Linked DNA regions of Danio rerio. The protein of the gene in region 1 purifies or fractionates together with the protein of each later gene. This does not show direct contact. Links are inferred from orthologs where the notes say so. Each region holds a gene or a part of one and is shown on either strand. Other genes may lie near its edges.

Region 1 (3,925 bases):
ATCATAAGCATCCTTGCGATAGAACGCATTGTTGATCACTGTCAGCTTCTCCTCCATCAAATGATATCACTTCCTCTGAGAAATTGCATGCAATAGACCTTAAAGGTCTATTGCATGCAATTTGTTCCGAAATTTTGGTTCGACCTGTATCATTATTTAAACACTCCTTCTTCCTTTGCATCGTTTAGTTTAAATTAAATTATTTGTTTTTACTCAGATTCTGCACTTAAATGTAAAGAATTTATCTTCAACATTTTTTATCTTGGTTGGAATTTTTTATATAGAAACAAAATGCATGTCTTCAATCTCTACTTTTAGACATTTTCTAATTGAAGTGGACTCACTGCACAAATCTTTCTGTATATGTAACAACAAAAAATGTCAGATTATTGGTACTGCATGAAGAACTTGTCTATTGTTTCTATTTTTAGCTAGATAGCTTTCCTGTAAGGCTCATAATTAATTTATTTTCATACACTTTTGTACAATTGTAATTTACTTACCCCTTTCGTTGTTTTGTTAGTCTTTTTTTTTTCTTTCTGCAGCTAATGTAGCTTGTAACCTTCTTGTGTATCTCGCTTATATTGATCTCCTGACTGTGGTTGCGGTTTTCATTCTTGAATAAAAAATAAAAATAAATAAAAAGATCTATTGCACACATTTTTTGTTAAAATTAATGCAAATGTGACAGGCCTGACAGAAACATGGGGACAATTGTAAAATAGTATTTATTTGTAGAATTTATTTATAATTTTAGATTTTTGATCAATTGATGTGAATGATAACATTTAAAACGTGCTATTTCTAAAGTTTTTTCCCCCTAAATAACAGTTTTTAGCATAACAAAACGATTAAAGTTGTAGGTCCAATTAGGCTGAGGACAATAAGAGGGTTTGTACATCTGTAAAGTGTTTTAATAAAGAAAAAAAATCTGTGAACCAAATGAATGACATATTCCTTTACAGGACAGCTCACAGAAATAAACCATCAGTCCATTTTAGACATTTTTCGGCATTAAATACTTTTTATTCAGTGTATTTATATTTTTATTCAAGGACAGATAATGTAGGTTTCTGGTAAAATGTTCCATATACTCTCACATTTTTATATCCATCATTAAAATAATCTTTATTTAGCTCTGCTGTTACACATGAGCAGCTGTTGGATTAAATACAACATAGCAGCTCATTCTCCTGAGCTTTTAAAACAACCAGGCGAGGGCGCTATTGACCAACATCACACACGTGATCTCGTGCAAGAAAGTATTCAAACTGGAATGTAATCAATCAGCTCTTAAAGCAAAGGAAATTCATTTTACAATTCTACACAAAATATACCGGGTCAATGCATTTGTGTCAAAATTTACTGATATTGCATAGATTTGTTCTTTCTGTCAGGAAAGTGAGGAAACTTTGACTTTTTACATGTAAAATCTCACAAAAGTTTTGGTCAGATTTATATAAATATTTTAATAAATTACAATTAACAAAGCAAAACTTTAAATTGAAAGATAATATTTGTTTTTATTTTAATAAAAAAAAAAAATTAAGAATATATAACTTTTTTTTTTATTATATGCGAAAATCTTTGTCCTCAAGCAAAAATTTCTTAAATCCCCCCTCATTTGCCCATTTGTTAAATTGAAATCGATTTCTTGCTTAAAGCTATACGTTTATCTAAGAACAAAAAATTCAGCAAGTTAATAGAAACGTATGAAAATATCATGCTTCCAGTGAGTAGTTGCTAGATGCTTTCTGTGCTTATTTAATTTTGTACTTCCCTTTTCTTTATTTTGTTTTAAATATTTTTCTATTTCTTATTTGTAACTTGTTGTTCTCATCACTTTGTAATTGTAGGTACTTGTATTTCAGTTTCTTACAGATTACTTCCTGATTTATATTGTACATTTCTTCTTTTCTATAAACGTTAATTCAATTAAAATAAAATAAAATAAAAAAATCAATCAGCTCTTGCATTCTGCATATTTATAATCCACCTACATAAATGCATTGTAAAACAAATATACAATAATTCATTTATTTCTTTATGAAATTGCATAATTAAACTTTAATCTGCTCTGTTTACTTTATGATGTTGAAAATCAAGTCTGCAGTTTAACACAGTGACTTTTATAGACATTTTAGTAGCTTTAAACAACACATTCGATTACAAATAATATATAGAAAATAAAGTCCTTAAAATAACAAAGTTCTGGTTATTTATTACCAGGTTTGTGTACAATTTACAACACCAACCCAGGCAGTATATGACTTTAAATAATTAAAAATCTTTTTAGAAGTCTTTTTTTAACTTATCAACATCACAAGTTTTAAAAGAAAGATCAAGACTTTATAATGCAATTCAAAGGCATGCATTTAAAAATAATAGTATGAAAAATGGTTAATTTACAGATATATATGACTCTATACATCTATAAATCAGATTGTCATGCATTATGAGTGTGTTTTGCTTTTGCATAACTACAGTAAAGTTTTAGAGCATTACAAGCATTTAAACCTTATTTTAGTCTCACTGTGTGCTAAAAACATTGCATCACCCAAACATTTCTACTTGCGTTTGTTTTTACTGGTGCAACCTTTGACAGAATCGTTCTCCTTTTAAGTCAAAAGCTTGGCAAATGACATCAACCCAAGAAGAACTCCTCCTCTAAGCGTTACAATCTGTGTTTTGTGCTCGGTACCTGTCAGAGAGCATTTAGTCTGGCGTCTGAACACTTTATAAAACGTTTATGACACGCTCTGCTTTTCTAGAGGCTTCTTGTGAGTCTCGCCATCTGCCAATCGGATCTCGGGCGCGCGCGGGGGAAATAAGAGAACGGAACGGGAAAGAAAAGGAGAAAGGGAGAGAGAGAGACTATTCGATACTGACCCGGACACATGTTGAGTTAACGGGCCGCTCCAGCTCTCTCCTCCGCCTCCTTCGGCGGATTCACAGTCTGTTTTTGATCCCCGAGCAGGGAGCCGGTGTTCACCTTCACTTCCATAACCCCGCTTGAACCATGGACTCGAATAAAATGGTAAGCAGTCGACGAAATGTTGACGTTTTAACGCATCTCTACACGTTTTTTGGGGGGTGGGGAGGAACTGGGGCTTGCCTCTTCGCGGGGTTGTCTTGTATATCGAGGATTGCGCGATTTTCAGGATAAGAGTGTTGTTTATTTACCTCAGATTAAACCGTTGACTTTACAGACCGTTAGTTGTAGCGACCTAGCTAACGTTAGTATGTGTTTAGCTCAGTGTTGTTTGGGCTCCTCAAGTATTTCCCAAAACATTCCCGGATTTTAGGAAGTCCCAGTGAGTGTGCTAATATAAGCATGCATGCGTTTTAAATAGCGTTTAAATGCACCGCTGATGTCTCAACATTGTTTTAGTCAACCAATATGCACGATTCATCTGAATCTAACGTTACTTGAATGCACAGTAAATATATATAAAACATTCACCCTTATAAACCTGCTGCTTTGCAATACAAAAGCAGATGCTAACCAGAATGAGTGAGTCTCCATTCACTTTCATTGTATGCAAAAATGCTTAATGAATGTGAATGGTGACTGAGGCTGTGAGAGTGTCAGTTCTTTATGGTCTTGTTAACAACACACTTTTGTGTTTTTTGTGGAGGAGGAAAGTCGTGCAGGTTTATCACTTTGCATTTAATGGCAGGATTTCTGTTATTATTATTTTGTCTGTGAAATATACATTTAAATGTGCGGCTAATGCAAGCTTGGGCAAAACTTGAGGAATAGTTTGGCTTAAACAAAAATTTGCTGTTAATTAAAGGCACAATATGTAAGATTTTTGTATTAACGTTAAATTATATATATATATATATATATATATATATATATATATATATATATATATATATATATATTTACTGACGTACATACTTACAATATCCCAAATAT
Region 2 (3,935 bases), on another chromosome or scaffold:
TTTTATATTAATCAATGCTTGTGATTGATTGATTGATTATATTTTATCGATTTCCTACAATTCATCTTATTGAATGTAAATTTTATGAATTCTTTCCAAATAGTGAAATTTATTTCTTCGCGTGAAATGTATATATATTTGTGTATATATAAATGTGTGTGTATATATATATATATATATATATATATATATATATATATATATATATATATATATATATATATATATATATATATATATATATATAATTTTTTTTTGCGTATATAGTTTTTATATCAAAGCATTGGTCCACAAGTTTCAATAAAAATTATTTACTAAAAAAATTAACATGGATTTTTAATGTTTAAGGAGGATGCAACATTTTGGATGGCCTTTAATGACTTTTACTAGGACAATACACTATCAACATAACATGATGTACATGTGTAATAAAATCAAAGTCGATCGAATGCTTAGGTAAAAAAACTAAAATGTTAGAAAAGATTATTTAAATTGATAAAACACTTTCTACAAAAGTTTTCTGGGTCTATAAAGTTTGTCTGATAAAGAATATATAATACTTGATAAAGAATATTTAATAGCTGTCAGTTCAAATACAAAAGTTAGATCAACAATATGAACAGACTACCACGACCTTGTGTATTTAACTTGTTTGTGTCAATGTTTGTTAATCTAACATTGTACCCATTTGAGTAAATTAATTTAATGTTTGGGTAAACTATCCCTTTAAAAACACTTTTATTCATGTATAGGGTTTAGATTTAAAAAAAATGCTGCTCTTCTAACCTTTTTGTTTATAATCGTGAAAAACCTATAAGGCAACACACCAATTTTCAACATAGGCATTTGATAACAAATATTACTTGAGCAGAAAAATCTGTATATTAGACTACTTACTGAAGGATAATTTGCCAGCACATTGCAATTTAATTTAAACTGTAAAAATAATCCACAACATTACCGTTTTCACTGTTTTTCATTAAAATGACTTGACTTGACTTGAAAAGCTAAAATATCTTTTGAATTCACCAAGATTTTCACCAAATCAACTTAGTTATGCTTAGGCCTTGTTGACTTGCTAGAGCACAGCAAGTCATTTGTGACCATAAGATCTTACTCAAATTTTTATTTTATTTTATTTTTTTTTTTAAGGCTAGCAATCCCTTTTTTTTGCAACGGCTATTATTTTAATGCATTTTGGCAATTCCAGGACACCTAGAATTATCATCACTGCAGGACATTCAGCATTGATAACTGCTCAAATTACATTCATCTAAATTTTTATAGCAACCACCACAATAAAATAATAATAAAGTGCCTTTAGGCAAAAGCCATGTGTTGTTTATGACTTAAATATCCTGTTCCTGAGTTTAACAACAACAAACTCTAGCATGTTGACAGTCATTTCATACTGTTTGACCACCCCAAAAAACAGATTATAATAACAGTGAATTTGACAATAAACTAAGCTCTTACCATTCTTGGTGGATGAACTTAATACTTCCAGTACACACACAGGGATGGTAGAGGGGTTTGTCTTGGGTTCCCTCAGATCGACACACCCTACATATATCAGCTGCCAGAAAACATGCACAAAAAAAAAAACATTTTTAACAAAAGTATGTAGAATGCATCAAAATAAATGAGGATAAAAAGGATTGAAATTACCCCAACAACAAAAAATAGACTTGATTATGCTTTCTGATACTTAATATATGTTAATATCATATTCAGTATATACTAATATACAATCAAAAGGTTTTAATGCATGCAGGAGTATAGCTTGATTTCTCGTCAGTCCATATCTGGCTTATCTTAGAACTCTTGCTAAAATAATAGCAAAACTCTTAACTGGATTATAATGGATAACATCTGAAACAACTACAACTTTCACATGTCAAAAATCAATGAGATGTCATTGCAGGCAGTGTTTCAAACGTGGTATAAGTGATATCACTGATCTTATATATTACATTTATGCTATCGTATTTCAGGTGCGTTTAAACCTGGCCAGATTATCACAAACATCCGCTTCACATTACAACGGCTAACGTTACAGTTAAGCTAACAAGAATAATGTGATTTAGAAAATATAAATGGCATCTCATGAATTCAAAATGAAGTTCCAACGCAAATGAGTGTCTTTATTCGGACGTGCTAGGTGTAACGTTAGGTTATGACAGCTGTACTAAAGACCAAGCTGGCAGGAAAACATTAGCTTGTTAGCTTGCAAAGGCCAGATCAATTACAGATGCTGGTTTTGTTGATCGTAGCGTCCAAATCAAAACATAACGACAAATAAACTTCAGTCAAGAAACATTTAAAAAGCAAAAACGAGCAAACAGACAGCAGCCTGAAAGCCTCCGTGTCTAGACAGCTTACCTTCTTCGGCAGTGTCCATCTTGAACGGTGACGCACTGTCCTCTTTACAGTCAACACATAACACTCGCCGCGAAACAAAACACAATTATCAGCTCACAACCAGGCTAAAATACAGCATGACGACATCGATCCAAGCATGAACGCCGCATAACCCCGGACTGGAAGCCTTTTCTTTGTGTAGTGCTCGCGGATAGCGCTGATCCAGCTACTTGTTGGCCGACTACATTACTGCTCGGCTGAACATGTTTGTGGCCTCTGGATGTGAATGTGCTGCTACGGTTTCGATTTACGGCAGTGCAGTGCGCGTGCGCAAAGAACGCGACACTTTCTGGTGTTTTCCGTTGGTGACTGGATGCGTTTAACATTCAGTACTTTTGTTTGGTATGCGCAGTTTATGTTCACGTATATTTAACTTCATTCATTATTATTTATTATATGAACATAATACGAATTTGCAATGTTTGTAGTTTACGTATACGTTAAGGGGGTGAGGCAGGGGACTTTGAATCCGGTCACACCAGGGCAAGTGGTTCAAACCAGTCATTGGTTCAAACACACATACACACCTTCCTTTTATCGTGATAGACATTTGCATGTGCTTATTTTTTGTTATAGGTTAGTTAGCAACAGTTTGAATGCTGGCATTTGATCCCTGTAGACTACTTAATCTGGTGGTGTGTCATCCTATAAGTATAGTTATTTATTTGTAAAAGGACTCAGAATAACATTGAGGATTTTCTGGGCTTGGAAATCAGGCTTATTTCACGAAATATTCATTTCTTTTAGAGTAAATATAAACTGTAAAATATGTATATATAAATAAATATAAATGTAGAATATAAGAAGAATGACAATTTAAGAAGTGTATACATCATGCATAATATTTTTATAATTCTTTTTCAAATATTTCCCATAAGAGCTGTCTAACTTTTTTCACATTTTAACATAATAGTTTTTATAAATAATTTATTTTGCTATTGCCATGATGACAAAACGTCATATCTGACCATTTACTAGATACTAAACTGCAATTTAATGGCTTAACCCTGTTAATTAAGTTATGTTAATTAGGGAAGTTATTTGACAACAATGGTTTGAGTATTTTCTCAATGGGGCTAATAATTTAGACCTTTTAAAAATATTTGTTTTTATTAACAACTGTATTATTTCCAGCTAAACTAAAAGAAATGAAACATTATCCAGAAGAAAAATATATAAAATACTGTGTAGTGTACTGACATTTAATCCCCACAATGTAAACTTGTTAATCTGTACTCTAGTATATTCATTTATTTGTAAAAGGACAACTTGTCAGAATAACATTGAGGATTTTCTGTGATTGAAAATCAGGCTTATTTCATGAAACATTTCTTTCTTTTAAAGGGAATATAAACTATGTAATATATATATATATATATATATATATATATATATATATATATATATATATATATATATATATATTGTCAGCAAATTATTTTTATATTCAAATAATTCATATATTAGACTATAAGAAGTTTATAGAATCATTTGTTCATTCATTTTCTTTTGGC

What was found.
Region 2: the proteins of plin2 (region 1) and marchf6 purify together in Homo sapiens (affinity purification with western blotting; 3 studies listed by BioGRID). This does not show direct contact. The link is inferred for Danio rerio from reciprocal best matches to the Homo sapiens genes PLIN2 and MARCHF6.

Annotation. Positions count from the first base shown.
Region 1 is NC_133190.1:19,440,021-19,443,945, reverse strand, and holds the start of plin2 (perilipin-2), read right to left. Parts: upstream 3,040-3,925; 5' UTR 3,038-3,039; coding exon of another isoform or gene 3,020-3,037; 5' UTR 2,890-3,019; exon of another isoform or gene 2,877-2,889; intron 617-2,876; 5' UTR 504-616; intron 1-503. UniProt on the Homo sapiens protein: Structural component of lipid droplets, which is required for the formation and maintenance of lipid storage droplets.
Region 2 is NC_133177.1:33,448,317-33,452,251, reverse strand, and holds the start of marchf6 (E3 ubiquitin-protein ligase MARCHF6), read right to left. Parts: upstream 2,614-3,935; 5' UTR 2,402-2,613; coding exon 2,383-2,401; intron 1,577-2,382; coding exon 1,477-1,576; intron 1-1,476. UniProt on the Homo sapiens protein: Endoplasmic reticulum membrane-associated E3 ubiquitin ligase that plays a critical role in mitigating endoplasmic reticulum stress, the regulation of cholesterol and lipid homeostasis, and ferroptosis.